3 linked regions of the Callithrix jacchus genome follow. The main gene of each other region encodes a partner of the protein of the gene in region 3 in a complex. Links are inferred from orthologs where the notes say so. Each region holds a gene or a part of one and is shown on either strand. Other genes may lie near its edges.

What was found.
Region 1: the proteins of TFDP1 (region 3) and E2F5 are in contact, whole or in part, in a crystal structure (PDB 5TUV), measured with the Homo sapiens proteins. The link is inferred for Callithrix jacchus from reciprocal best matches to the Homo sapiens genes TFDP1 and E2F5. Residues at the interface, in NP_009042.1 of Homo sapiens: Glu201, Cys202, Leu205, Glu208, Arg209, Arg212, Leu213, Arg215, Ile216, Lys219, Gln220, Leu223, Leu226, Ile227, Gln230, Phe233, Leu236, Val237, Arg239, Asn240, Arg241, Arg249, Pro253, Ser255, Val256, Ile257, His258, Leu259, Pro260, Phe261; in NP_001942.2 of Homo sapiens: Val126, Arg129, Leu130, Lys134, Glu136, Ile137, Leu140, Glu141, Glu144, Leu147, Asp148, Gln150, Lys151, Leu154, Gln155, Ser157, Ile158, Val161, Met162, Ile166, Asn167, Asn168, Arg169, Phe170, Ser171, Tyr172, Val173, Thr174, His175, Asp177.
Region 2: TFDP1 (region 3) and MYBL2 share a complex: the UniProt entries of both Homo sapiens proteins name them as parts of the DREAM complex. The link is inferred for Callithrix jacchus from reciprocal best matches to the Homo sapiens genes TFDP1 and MYBL2.

The regions. Positions count from the first base shown.
Region 1 is NC_133517.1:41,656,239-41,661,053, forward strand, and holds the start of E2F5 (transcription factor E2F5), read right to left. Parts: upstream 3,303-4,815; 5' UTR 3,004-3,302; coding exon 2,770-3,003; intron 1-2,769.
Region 2 is NC_133506.1:39,047,734-39,052,674, reverse strand, and holds the start of MYBL2 (myb-related protein B), read right to left. Parts: upstream 3,303-4,941; 5' UTR 3,266-3,302; coding exon 3,201-3,265; exon of another isoform or gene 3,198-3,200; coding exon of another isoform or gene 3,184-3,197; intron 1,223-3,183; coding exon 1,129-1,222; intron 1-1,128. UniProt on the Homo sapiens protein: Transcription factor involved in the regulation of cell survival, proliferation, and differentiation. Transactivates the expression of the CLU gene.
Region 3 is NC_133502.1:29,108,034-29,112,978, reverse strand, and holds the end of TFDP1 (transcription factor Dp-1), read right to left. Parts: intron 4,311-4,945; coding exon 4,232-4,310; intron 2,054-4,231; coding exon 1,906-2,053; 3' UTR 726-1,905; downstream 1-725. UniProt on the Homo sapiens protein: Can stimulate E2F-dependent transcription.

The DNA of each region.
Region 1 (4,815 bases), on a different chromosome or scaffold from region 3:
CTGTCTCTACTAAAAATATAAAAATAAGTCAGGTGTAATGATGCACATCTATAGTCCCAGCTACTTGGGATGCTGAGGCAGAATTGTTTGCGCCTGGGAAGCGGAGGTTGCAGTGAGCTGAGACTGTGCCACTGCACTCCAGCCTGGGTGACAGAATGAGACCCTGTCTCAAAAAAACAAACAAACAAAATCAACCAAAAAACCATATATATATATATATATATATATATATATATATATATATATATGGTTTCTTCAACTGCTTTTAAAAAGTCGTCTATAAAAGTTTCAAAAAAATTATGCTGAAATATGCCCCCACCAAAGTAAGAATATAAGAAAAAGAAAATGTGTGTTTATAATTTCAAATTAGAGGAAAATTATAATTGTTAGTGTGAGTCCATCTTTAATATGTATTATCAAAAATGTCTTAATGAGCCAGGTACAGTGGCTCACACCTGTAATCCCAGCACTTTAGGAGCCTGAGGCAGGCAGATCATTTGATGTTGGGAGTTTGAGAATAGCCTGGCCAATATGGTGAAACCTCATCTCTCCTAAAAATACAAAAATTAGCCAGGCGTGGTGGCGGGCACCTAAAATCCCAGCTACTTTGGAGGCTGAGACAGAACTGCTTGAACCTGGAAGGCTGAGGTTGCAGTGAGCAGAGATCACACCACTGCACTCCAGCTTGGGCTACAGAGTGAGACTTGGTCTCAAAAAATAAAAGTCTTAATGATCTTTTACAATGATATACAATAAGAAATATCATTGGAAAGATTTCAATGTAAAAGTTTACATATATTAGATTATATATGTAAATAATATATGTAAAATACATAAAATGTATATGTTTTTCATATATATGAAAACTAATAACATTCAAACTCCTTTCTAGGAGTATAAAGTCATAATATAATGAAACTTAGTGTTATTGTAGAAGCCTTTGAATTTTCAGGAGAGTTCCAGAATGAATTAAGCAATTATTGTTATGAAATACCAAACTGTACATCCTACTCACTGCCTCTGTGACTTCTGTAGGGCAATTATATGGCCACAGATGAAACAGGAGGAAGCTAAAGAATTTCAAGTCAAGAAAGGGCAAAGTTCCACCATACCCTGAGGCAAGTTGAGGGAGAAGCCCTCAAAATCTGGCCATCAGAGTTCAGTTTTATCTGGAAAACCCCAAACTTCCCTGATTTTCTTACACTAAAGTTAAAGGTACAGTTGAATTTCTAGATTTTGAACAGCAGTTTGCAACCTGTGCTTTGTAACATCTCTGGCTTTCTCTGACAACTTCATGACTTTCTGAAATTCTTTAAACAGAGTCCATTTTAATTCACTAAAATTTAAATACTATATATGCCATAAATCACTTTCAGGGAGAGAAAGGAAGAAGGGCCTGTGGTGGAAAAGAGATCAAGGAACTTCCAGAGGTGGGAAAAAATTCCAGGAATAACATCTCAAAAAGAAAACAGGAGAAATTACTTACCAAAATACAAAATATATACAGCATGCCTCACTTGCAAGAAGTTAACAATTTAGATAATTCAATTCAACAATCACTGACTGAACACCAACTACATCCAGGGAAAGCAGAAGGCACTGAAAGATCTACTTCCCCTTGGGCTACACTAAAGGAGGGCCCTTAGCAGAAGACAGGGAGAGCTGGCCCTTACATTCAGGGAGGTGCCATTGCTTTATGCAGAGCCTGGAGGATGCAGTGACACTCTGAAGCCAGGTAAGGTGGTCTAGGCACTCCCCGGATGCTGAGGTCAATCCTCCAAGTAATACCACATTTAGGAAGCAAAGGGGGCTTGCAGTGATTACTGCAAGTTAGAATTTTTTGTTTGTTTCTAAAACTTTGGCTCTTAAACTTGGCGCACAGAGTGATCACATTCTCTTCATTCTGAGCGATGTTGAATTCTTCCAAATTCTGCCTAGATCAGTTGTCATTCTGTATGACAGAACAGCTTTTGATGCTTGTTCCTGTTTGAAAAATCTGAACGCAGTAAAGGATGAGGCGGGGAGAGAGTTTACTGAGCACTTCCTCCTCTTTGAGTGAAAAGTTGTAAAATACCCCCTTTTCTTGTGATAGCAGATCTCACATTTGGAAAACTCATGACACATGCCAAATGAAGTCACAAATCAAACACCCTTCCTAACTTTCAGGGTGTTGAAAAGAAGTACACAAGGAAATTTTTTTATTAGCATCATTATTTTATCGGGGAGGGTCATGGAAAGAAGTAATTTTTCCCCCTTTCATCCGGTAGAGATGGCAGACTGGGTTCTGTTTCTCCTCCTTTTTATTTAAACTAAAGGAACATGGATCCAACTGGAATCGCCTATTAAAACCATCAGTTCTTAACAGCAAAATCGATTTTCACAGTGTCTCCGGGCAAAGCGCCCGTTACTCCCTGAGCCTCTGCCACAGGTGGACGCGGAGCAACAGACACTCGTTTGCCCTCAGGTCCCTGCGCCCGGAGACAGAAGCCACGCGGGCGCGCTCGAGGTGCAGGGCTCTTTGTCGAGAGTCCAGCGTGGCGCCGGGCCCCATTGGTTACGCGTCCGCTCGGGGCCATCCTGGTCCCTCGTCCCTCCCCCATCCCGGCGTCCAGGACCCGGGCGCAGGCCACATGGTCCTCGGATCGCTCGGTCCCGGATCCCCGCAGGGCGCGTCCAAACCACGCCGCCAGACCCACGCCGCGAGGGGCTGGGCTTCCCCGGGGGCCACGGGTTCCGAAGTCCGCCCCCGTCCCCGCCTCCCGAGCTCACCGCTTTGAGATCCAGAACGCCGTCCTTGGCCTCCTGCAACAGCGACACGAACTTGGTGGTGAGCAGCCCCAGGCTCTTCTCGTGCCTGCTGCTGCCGCCCCCAACGCCCCCAAGCTGCTGATGCGACGGCGGCTGGGGAGCTTGCGCCTGCGGAGGCTGCGGCTGCGGCCGCTGGTCCTGCCCCTGCCCTGGCGGTGCCTGCTGGCCGGAGCTCGCGGGCTCCGCCGCCGCCATCGCTTCCCGGCCCCGCGGTGGTCGGGCCCCCGCGCACTTTTGCTCGCCTGCCCCGCCCGCGGCCACCTGCCGGGTCGGCTCCGCCGCTGCTGCTTCCCGGCCCTCCGAGAGCGGCAGTGCTGGTCGCAGGCTGCTGCAAACAACAGGTGTACGGCACCCACGGGAGCCGGGGCCGCTTGTCACTCCAGGCCTCCGCCCCCTCCCCAAGCCCAGGGAAGCGTGAATGAGGCCCAAGACCAAGAGGGGAGGGGGTGGAAGCGAGAAGGGCTGAGAGGGGTGGGGACCTGAGTTTAAATGGCAGGAAGTGACGCGCCGCCCGCCGTTACCTAGAAACGCATTTTTCTGTAGGAAGGAGGAGAGCACGAGGAGGAGGAGGGGCGTCGGTGCGAGTGTTTCACACTCGCCTCCCGGGCGTTCACGAGCTGCCCCGAGGAATGGTGATCCCACACGGCAAAGCAAGGAGGAAGAAAAAAACGGAGACAAAAGAAAAAAGACTTTACCTGGGCAGAAAGTCACAATGCCCGGAGGCCAAACGTTTCTGAGTCGTGAAGTTGGTTGGCTGCTCAGTTTGCAGAGCTGCAGGAGATCAGCGGTCGGTTACTTACTTTTGCTGGACGGTTTCTGCTTTCTTGCTCTTTTCGAGCTCTAGCATTGTTTGCAAATATTTGTACGCGAAAAGGCATCGTGGAGTTTCAGGGCTGGTTTTCGTCAATCCTTTCCAAGACCTTTACTTTCCACATGGAGAAACAAGTGTAGAGGGAGAGGTTGTGAATTGCCAAAGACATGCCGCTAGATCCCAGATCTCCTGTGCTTGACCAAAGTTCTTAATATCTTATTGAACCAAATTGTATTGTATTTGGAATATTGGGCAGTCAGAGGCCCTTGGTCTTCAGTGATATTCCAAACCATTGATGGCAAATGACATCGTGCAGATCTGAGTAAAAGAAAGTTGTTGGGGTTTTTTCCTCATTATATTACAAACTCTTGAGAATTCACATTAAATTTTAAATGACTTGTGTCACATTCAACACTTTGAATATAGTAGACAATAAAGATTAGGTGAATGAAACCAGGCGCAGTGGCTTACGTCTGTAATCCCAGCACTTTGGGAGGCCAAGGCAGGCAGATCATTTGAGGTCAGGAGTTTGAGACCAGCCTGGCCAACATAGTGAAATCCCATTTTTACTAAAAATACAAAAATTAACTGGGCTTGGTGGTGCCCGCCCATAGTCCCAGCTACTCCGGAGACTGAGGCAGGAGAATCACTTGAACCCGGGAGTGGAGGTTTCAGTGAGCCAAGATCTGCCACTGTACTCCAGTCTGGGTGACAAAGTGAGACTCTGTATCAAAAAAAAAAAAAAAAAATTAGGTAAATGAAAATTCCTTATGGCAGTAATTAATCAAGAAAATTTCATGCAAGAAAGATTTTGTTTAATTTTAAATAACAATAAACTAACAAAAAAGGGTCTCTGAAGTGAGGTCAAATACAACAGCAGCATTAACTAGTAAAGCTAAATGCACCGTTTATAACACATCATAGGCACAGGCCTTTATTTATAACCTTCGTTAATAACTTATTCATTATATCCTTTACTTTAATCAAAGAACTCTATAAACAAAACAACATTGAAAATCTGAAGTAAAACATGAAAAATTCAGCTGATACAACCACTTTCAAACAACATATCTGAAAAAGGTTACATCTGTGTGATTTGACGTGGGACACATTGTTAACAAGTTTTGCAAATTAATTTTGTTGATTGTTGTCAAATAGTATTTCTTAGAACGTGCTGAAAGAGGAAGAGTCTAACA
Region 2 (4,941 bases), on a different chromosome or scaffold from region 3:
GCCGAGATCGTGCCATTGCACTCCAGCCTGGATAACAAGAGCGAAACTCCATCTCAAAAAAAAAAGAAAAATAAAAAAGAAAAAGAAAAAGAAAAGAAACCAATATAAACAATACAATACAAACAAAAACAACCAAGCCTAAAATTAAAGACATTTATGATGTTAACTGTGGGTTAAAAATAAAGACCAGACGTGGTGGCTCACACCTGTTTTCCCAGCACTTTGGGAGGCACAGGCGGGCAGATCAGGAAGTCAGGAAATCGAGATCATCCTGGCCAACATGGTGAAACCCCGTCTCTACTAAAAATACAAAAAATTAGCTGGGCATGGTGGCATGTGCCTGTAATCCCAGCTACTTAGGAGGCTGAGGCAGGAGAATTGCTTGAACCCAGGAGGCGGAGGTTGCGGTGAGCCAGGATCGCGCCACTGCACTCCAGCCTAGGGAACAACAGCGAAACTCCGTCTCAAAAAAAAGAACAAAAAGATGGAGCTAGAAGAAAACCAAGTCAGGCTTCATGTTACAAGGTTCAATAGTTTTTTAGAAAAAGAAAGGGAGAGTTGGCTGGGGGCAGTGGTTCACGCCTGTAATCCCAACACTGTAGGAGGCCAAAGCTGGTCAACATGGTGAAACCCCGACTCTACTAAAATTACAAAAATTAGCCAGGTGTGGTGGCTCATGCCTATAATCCCAGCTACTGGGAGACTGAGACAGGAAAACTGCTTGAACCCGGGAGGCGGAGGATACAGTGACCCAAGGAGGTCTTATCATTGCACTTTAGCCTGGGTGACAAGAGCAAAACTCCATCTCACCCCCCGACAAAAAAAAAGAAGAAAGCGGGAAATTACAGGCTTGGCCAAACCTCCTAGCAGTCAAATGGCAAGAAGCATAATCAACGTCCATGAAACAGAACATCCCAGCTGCTGAGGAGACACAATGGGCCCTAAGGTCTGAGACACACATCCCCTTCCCATCCACCGAGTCCTCAGAATTAAGTCCCCCAGAGGACCTATCCTTTCACTGGCTCCTCCTCTTCATCCCCTCTGACAGGACATCAGGAAGACACTCCAGGCTCAGCTCCTCTGGCCAGCCCCAGCTACCATCAGCCATCTCCTCCCCATGGCACTCACCTCCTCGTGGGTCCATTTGACCTTGCACTTGCTATCCCTCTGCTCTGGCACATCTGAATCTGTGTCCTGGTAGTGCAGCTCATCCAACTCCTCGCTATGGAGAAAGCAGGCCAAAAGGTTAAGGATGTCACTGGGCTGGAGATCAGTATGGCATGATCACAGCCTTAACTCCTGGACTCAAATAATCCTCCCACTTCAGCCTCCCAAGTAGCTGGGACTACAGGGGCATGCCACCACATCCAGCTAATTGTTTGTATTTTTTATGCAGACATGGGGCCCAGAGTGATCTCGAACTCTCCCACCTCGGGAGTAACTAAAAAAACAACAACAATTGAGCGGTAACTATGCCCATTTGTTGTTTTTCTTGAGACAGAATGGATCTGTTACCCAGACTGGAATGCAGTGGCATAATCATAGCTCACTGCAGACTCCAACTCCTAGGCTCAAGCAATCCTCCCACCTTGGCCTTCCAAAGTGCTGGCATTACAAGCCTAAGCCACCGTAACTGGCCAAGTTGTTGCTTGTGCTTGGATTTTTTTCTTTTTCTTGAGACGGAGTTTCGCTCTTCTTACCCAGGCTGGATGGAGTGCAATGGCACGATCTCGGCTCACCGCAACCTCCGCCTCCTGGGTTCAGGCAATTCTCCCGCCTCAGCCTCCTGAGTAGCTGGGATTACAGGCACGCACCACCATGCCCAGCTAATTTTTTGTATTTTTAGTAGAGACAGGGTTTCACCATGTTGACCAGGATGGTCTCAATCTCTCGACCTCGTGATCCACCCCCGCCTCGGCCTCCCAAAGCGCTGGGATTACAGGCGTGAGCCACCGCGCCCGGCCCCTTTTTCTTTTATTTTGTAATGACAGTCTCGCTATGTTGCCCAGACTCATCTTGAACTCCTGGGCTCAAGTGATCCTCCTGCCTCAGCCTCCCAAGCAACTGGGATTACAGGTGTGCACCACCATATCCAGCTTATGTCCATTTTTGCAAATCGCTTCTCTCTTTTGCAAATCCCTTTTCAATCCTTGCCTACACACAGGCATAATTAATGGAAAGAAAAATCAGTGTACTGGCCAGGCACAGTGGCTCACACCTGTAATCTCAGCACTTTGGGAGGCTGAGGAGAGAGCATGAGGTCAGGAGTTCGAGACCAGCCTGGCCAACACACTGAGCCCCGTCTCTACTAAAAATACAGGCGCCTATCCTCAATAGCAGGTGTCATACATGATTTAAAAAAAAAAAAATACAGGCGCCTATAATCCCAGCAGCTTGGGAGGCTGTGGGAGGAGAATCACTTGAACCCGGGAGATGGAGGTTGCAGTGAGCTGAGATGGCGCCATTGCATTCCAGCTCAGGAGACAGTGCAAGACTCTGTCTCAAAAAAAAAAAAAAAAAAGAAAGAGGCCGGGCACGGTGGCTCAAGCCTGTAATCCCAGCACTTTGGGAGGCCGAGGCAGGTGGATCACAAGGTCAAGACATCGAGACCATCCTGGTCAACATGGTGAAACCTCGTCTCTACTAAAAATACAAAAATTAGCTGGGCATGGTGGTGCGTGCCTGTAATCCCAGCTACTCAGGAGGCTGAGGCAGGAGAATTGCCTGAACCCAGGAGGCGGAGGTTGCGGTGAGCTGAGATCGCGCCATTGCACTCCAGCCTGGGTAACAAGAGCTAAACTCCGTCTCACAAAAAAAAAAAAAAGAAAGAAAAATCAGTGTACAGTATATTCTAACATGGCTGCAGAGGAAAAAAAAAAAAAAGTACAAGCTGCTTTGAAGGCTGGGTGTTTTTCTTGTACAAGGGAATTTTCCAAGTTGCTCCAAAAAGCCCTTGTATTTACCCAGTGTAATAGTTACAAAAATGGAAATCACACAATCCACGTCCAGAGATGTCAGGCACATGAGGAAAGTTAGTAACCTTTCCCCAACTCAACAACAGAAACTGCATCAGATCATCTTGGTCTGCTGAGTTGCTAGGTCATGCATTTGTAAACTGGAAGAAGCTTACAGGTTCCAAACAAGGCAAGTCTAGGTCTCATGACCAAATGAAAGGCGACTTACTGTGCTATCCACATTACCTTCTCCTTGTTCTCCACAGCTCACCATTCCTTCCTAGAGTCACTCCTACATTTCCACAGCACATGGAAAAACTTCCTGCCTCAGGTCCTTACACTGCAACTGCCTATCTCTACACAGTCTACAAAGGTCAGCTCCACCTCCGCATCCCAGGGCTTATCACCAAAAGCCTTAAGAAATGTTTGCCCAGTGACTAAATACGCCACAAATGAATGAAAAAAAATGTGCAAAGCAGCTGCCTAGTAGTCGATAAGAAATACTAATTAAATTTTTTAGGCCAGGCAAGACCCGGTTTCAAAAGAAAAAATTTTCAGGAATAGAAAAGGAAGAGATGGGGGACAGGGAGCGGTTTTTTAAAAATAAAATAAATAAATAAATAAGGGGGGGAAAAAAGGAAGAAATGGTGTCGACTGCCAGCAATACATCAGTCACAGAAGGCTCTGGAATTCATTCCTGACCCAGTTCATGGGTCCACCACCATTGCCATATAAAAGGCAAAAATCCAGAAGATACTAGTAACAGAAGGAAGCTGACTTTAAAAACAACTGCCCCCAGACTGCTCGTGACAGAAACCATCTTCGCTTCTCCAGCATCCAGCACAAACAAGGCCTGGCTTCTAGCAGAAGCTCACAAATACTCTTTTCAAAGATGAGAAGGGTGTCTGCATGTACACTCTCTGGTGCTCCAATGCTATTTATTTTTTTTATTTTTGAGAGTCTAATTTTTGTATTTTTAGTAGAGATGGTGTTTCACTATGTTGGTCAGGCTGGTCTCGAACTCTTGGCCTCGGTGAGCCACCATGCCCAGCCTCCAGTGCTGTTTGATACGGTCAGCATCTCAGATAGCTGGGACATTTCTGTGAGATAATATACTTTTTTTTTTTTTTTGAGACGGAGTTTCGCTGTTGTTACCCACACTGGAGTGCAATGGCGCTATCTCGGCTCACCGCAACTTCCGCCTCCTGGGTTCAAGCAATTCTCCTGCCTCAGCCTCCAGAGTAGCTGGGACTACAGGCGCGCAACCACCATGCCCAGCTAGTTTTTGTATTTTTAGTACAGACGGGGTTTCACCTTGTTGACCAGGATGGTTTCGATCTTTTGACCTCGTGATCCACCCGTCTCGGCTTCCCAAAGTGCTGGGATTATAACCCCATCTCTACTAAAAATACAAAAATTAGGCCGGGCGCGGTGGCTCACGCCTATAATCCCAGCACTTTTCGCTGCGAGTTTCCCAGCGAAACTCCGTCTCAAAATAAATAAATAAAATAAAACAAGTAGCCAGTTGTGGTGGCATGTGCCCATAATCCCAGCTACCCAGCCTATAGTCCCAGCTGGCTGAGGTGGGAAGATCACTTGAACCCGGGAGGGTTGAGGCTGCAGTTAGCTATTATTGATTGTACCACTACACTCTAACCTGGGCTGCAGAGTGAGACCCTGCCTCAAAAAAAAAAAAACGAAGAAAAAAAAATCAGAGCAGGGTCTGATAGGTGCCTGAACAGCAAATTCTTCCTGGACACTGGCGCTGCCCTGGGAAAGTGGGGCCTGAGGAACACAGTCCCTGTGGTAGGCGCCCCAACCACCACTCAGATCCCTATCCTCAGCCCGAAAGGGCAAAAATCTAGAGAGATGGAAGGCCTCATCTTTAAATGAAGCTATCATCTGAAGAGGGACGAAAGGTTCTCTGAGCGGCAGGGATCTAGGCAGGGAAGGACCCAGACAGGGAAGAGGTCAGGACTCCACAATC
Region 3 (4,945 bases):
TTGTTATTGCTTTGTTTATTGTGTTTTTAATAGCTCTAGGCTGTACCTGTGCCATGGTTCAGCCTGAGATGTAAACATAAGGTCTTCTCAGGCCGTTTCTGAGCCTCTCCCTGGGCAGCCCCATAGGCACAGCTATTTTTGTACGTCCTAGTCTTCAATGTCTGGCTCCCAGAAGGAGAAGGAGAAAAATGAAGGAACAGGGGTAGGGTAGAAAGCTGAAATTGACCAAAATTAACTGCCATATGCTCCCTTGTAAGCTTTAAGCCTTTGGTAGATTCCGTAGTTACAGAACAGCTGCATCCAGCAGATCCTGCCTGGGAGTAGACGTCAGATTCCTGGCTTCCTTATTCCACCATCTTCCCAGAAGCCTCCCAATCTTATTCTTGTTCTGGAAGTCAAACTTTTACATTTTTAAGTCTCAATTTTCATCGTGAAAAAAAGCCAAGGAACTTGGCTTATCTTTCTCTGCACCACAGGCACCAAAAAAGGTGCCTCCTCCTTTCCTTATATCCAAGACCTCCACCCTTGGCCACTCTCCATCTTCAGGGTGGGCTCCCGGAAGATGTGCTTCTGACCAAAATTTGGTCGGGGGGTGTGCCCACAGGGACCACCAGGACGCACTGTGTCTGGGCCTAATAACAACCTACTTTCTCACTCAAGTATAAAGTAAGACCAACAAGACAGACAAATTTCTAGACAATAATCCTGAATTAGAGAAACACAGCTTGTTCAAAATGCCCATGCGCGTTTTATTAATAAAAACTAACAGTGCCAAGTTAAACAAGTCAAACAATTAAAGTCTCTTTATATTCCATAAAATATTACAGAAAAGTTTATTTGTGTTTCAATAAAAAGACTATCATTTCAGAACAGGCAGCTAACAGCAACTGTGCAGTTAATGGGTTTTGTGAATAAACTTTAAAAGAGACTACTGCCTGTCCTTAAATTCCTTTTCCTTTTTATAAAAAAAGAACTATTAAAAATGATTGACAAATTTTGAGTTAAAAAATTGTTAAAACATTCTCTATATTTAATTTCAATTTTATAATAGATTACAGGAAGATGCTTATGAAACAAATACAACATTTGTTTCAGTACATGTTTTTAAATGATAGACTTATAAGTATGTAAACAACTATATAATAAAAGGTTTCCAAATGCTGCCTGTAAGAAATCAGGCAAATTTTACCATAAGCAATAAACCATTCCAAGCCTTCCAGACAGTCTCCATAGCCGCACCAGCGTGGCAATAAGCCCTAACCAAACAAACAAAAGCACTTTGCAATTTGTTGCTGCAAATAGGGAGAGAAAAGAGTTGATAAGCTTGATGGAATCACAACAGTCAATATAATTTAAGGGAAAATAAAGTCAATAAGGTTGATGAAGTTTATTGTTTAGAAAGTCGAATTCTGCTGTTTGCTTGGGGCTCTGGACACAGTACCACTGACCAAATGGAACAATCCACAGAGTCCTGCTATCCACCAGCGGGGGTGCCGTCCAGACTCACGGCAAATAAATGGCACCAGGTGCTCACCATCCACCACAGGAGGGTGTTTTATTTTCATGGATGTGGATGAAATATAATTTCTTCAGCAGACTCAGCAAAAACTGTTCAGGGGCGAAACTGAACTCTGCACTTAGAGAAAACCAGAAAAATGAAAACACAAAATCCTAAAAAGTAAATAAACGCTCTGCATCAGCACACTGGTATCAAAACACACATCCACAGCACGTCCTAATCCTACGGTAAACAACCCTTGCTTATCAGAGGTGCATATCTAAATTCAATAGCTTACCAATATCTTCTTGGGAGTAGGCCAAAAGGAAACAGAAAACCCACATTAAAAAAAAAAGTTTCTTTTCCCTAAACGTTTTCCTGAAGCTGAATTTGAAGTGGGGAGGACGTCAGTCATCCTCGTCATTCTCATTGAAGTCATCGTCATCCTCGTCATCCTCCCCGACGTAGGACACTGGGGTCTCCACCCTGGAGCCACTGTACTGAGACCCGTTGGAGCTTGTGGCCAGCATCCCATCTGCACCGTTGGTCAGGTCACTGCAAGGCAGGAGGCGGATGAGGCAGTCAGTGCAGAGCAGTCCACTCGGCCTCCCCTCACCTCAGGGCCTGCGGCTGAAGGACAGGCTGCGCCGAACAGGTGTCAGTTTTGTCAGTCACACACACAGAACTGGGAGGTCATGAGTGTCTGCACTACAGCACGCCAGCACTCTGGCACTCACTCCATCCCCGTCTGGTTCTCCTCGGACCCTGTCTCCTGGAATCCACAATGCCAGAAATAGGAGGCTGAGCAGAGCCACAAGCTCCCTCTCCCTCACTCATCATTCCATCAGGAGCAGTGCCCAGAGGCAATGAACTGAAAAACTGTTAGATCCCTCCCTCCAGGACTTTCACTCATAACCAGCAACAGGAAAAAAAGAGAGCCTGGGGCAGGACAGGATGTAGTCCAGAGCACGGCTAGAATCTAGCAGCATGGACTGGGAACCCAGAGGGTTTGCAGCACCACAAAAACCTACCACTAATCACAGCTCACAATGTTCCAAGATTTAAAAATGTTTTCCAACTGCATAAAAATATATGCATATATTTTAATATATTTTAATAGTATTTATTAACTACAATGAAAATGAGTCAATATGCCTTTGATGAAGTGATTCTGTATCTTAGAAACACGTCAGAAATGGTGAGAAATTCAGCCGCAAAGCTGCTCACTGTAGTTTTCCTGATAACTGGGAACTGCCTAGATGTCCTTTCATGAGGTACTTTCATAAAATGTCCCATCATGCCACTTTGAAAATTGGTATTTCATAAGAAATGGTAGTAGCTTTGTTTCCATTGTTATGAAAAACTGACAAGTCTGAGAATCACATCCATGAAAAGGATTATCTGATGATGAAAGTCCTAAAAACACCCACATTTCACCTCATGGAAGAACCAGTGTTAAACATGTTTACAGACTGACCCCTACACATTCACACACAGCTGAAGAGAAAGAGAACCGGCCTCGGTCAAAACCTTGTTACCAGGCACTGTGACAAGTCCCTTCTTCTATCACCACTTCACTGATCCTTGCCACAGATCAACGACTCATCACCAGTCTCACCTTACAGGTGAGGCCAAGACTGGAAGAGACTGGCTTTGTAACCCCAGAGCTGGCCAGGAAGCTACATGCACCCCTGACACACTTGTCACATCTCACGGCCACAGCACATTCCAACACAGGCTCATGCGCACTGCAACTCACTACGTCGTGCCCTGTTATCTGGACCCACAGGTTACTAAGTTCTTAGATTTCCAATTAAAGATTTTATGAACACTTAGGATTAATATAAAGTAATACTACATATTGTATCACAATGCAATATAAAAGTCAATAAAATCTTTGTTTTGTTAATATCTGTTGTAAAAGCTATATTTCTCTTTGAAGCACCAAGATAAATACCTAGGGACATCATTCTACCCTATGGGATGGCAGGTCAAAGATTAAATACGAATTTATTTAAATAAAGGCCCTTTAATAGCACAGAAATAATATATATAAATACAATAAAATGTAAGGTGAAAATGCATGGAAGAAAACATGTGCGTTCTGACCACAGATGTGTTCTGAAAAGAAAGTGCACTGTGACCACAAACGTATTCTGAAAAATACATGCACTGTGACCACAAACATGTTCGGAAAATACGTGCGCTGTGACCACAGATGCATTCTGAAAAATATGTGCACTGTGACTGCTCTGAAAAATACGTGGACTGTAACTGCAGATGCGTTCTGAAAAATATGTGTGCTGTGATTACAGATGCGTTCTGAAAAATACATGCGCCATGACTACAAATGCGTTCTGAAATACAAATGCACTGTGACCGCAGACGTGTTCTGAAAAATAGGAGAAAAAAACTAGAAATACTTGCTGTTATTTGGGCTGCCCGGGACAGAAGGATTTGGGTGGTTTTCATTCCTACTTACTTTTTAGGTGATACTTTAACAAAAAAAAAAACAACCACCACGTATTACTTTTAGTTTTTAGTGAGGAGAAACCAACTAGGAAAAGCAGCTCTCCACACAGGGAAAGCCGGTGGGGCCACTGCCTGGGAAGACAAGCACGTCGGAGCAGCCTCAGACCTGATGGCCACATCTGAGACGTCCACCCTGCCTTGGCCCCTGGGCCCCACAGGAGGCCCAGACAATGCTTCTCCCACACCCTCAACCGCTGTCACCTGGCGGAGAACCTCGTGCCGTTAGATGTGGAACCTGCTGTCGTGATGAACACACCTCCAACAGTTCCCTGAGCCATTTCTGAAAAAGGAAAGAAAATGAAGCAAATGGTCACGAAACAGAAACAACACAAGACACACAGACAACCCGCAGTGCCGCAGGATGGACAGCTGGGGAAGCTTCCAGACATCCTTCACTTGTCCAGGATTTTCTGCACTGTGCCACAGAGGACATCCCGCTGTGCAGTCACATAGCCTGTCTTCCCTAAAAAGGCATGAACAGCCTTGCAATACCTGCACACACTGACTTACAAACAGCACATGTGTGCTGCTGTGTCAGTATCATACCCATCATGAAAGAGAATGATCAAGGAACAAGCTGAAACCCTCTTCCTACAGCCCATCCTGGCAGCTCCATGAAGCACACGACAGAGGGCGGGTCAGGGCCCAGCCCACATGGGCAGCCAGACCCCACTCTCAGCTGATGATATGGACCAGCCAGATTTTCACAAGATCTGGGATGGTTTAGGAGCTCAGGGAGGAATCTCTGACCCTCTCAGGGAGTAAGTCCACACCCAAAGTTTAGGCTGACAAGAAAAGGATTGGCAGATACAGCACCTTCACAATTTCTCACCTTAAAGCCACCCTATCTAGGCTGGGACCCTACGGCCCCACGGAAAGAATTCACCAGAATCAGAAAAAAGTCCCTTCAACAAA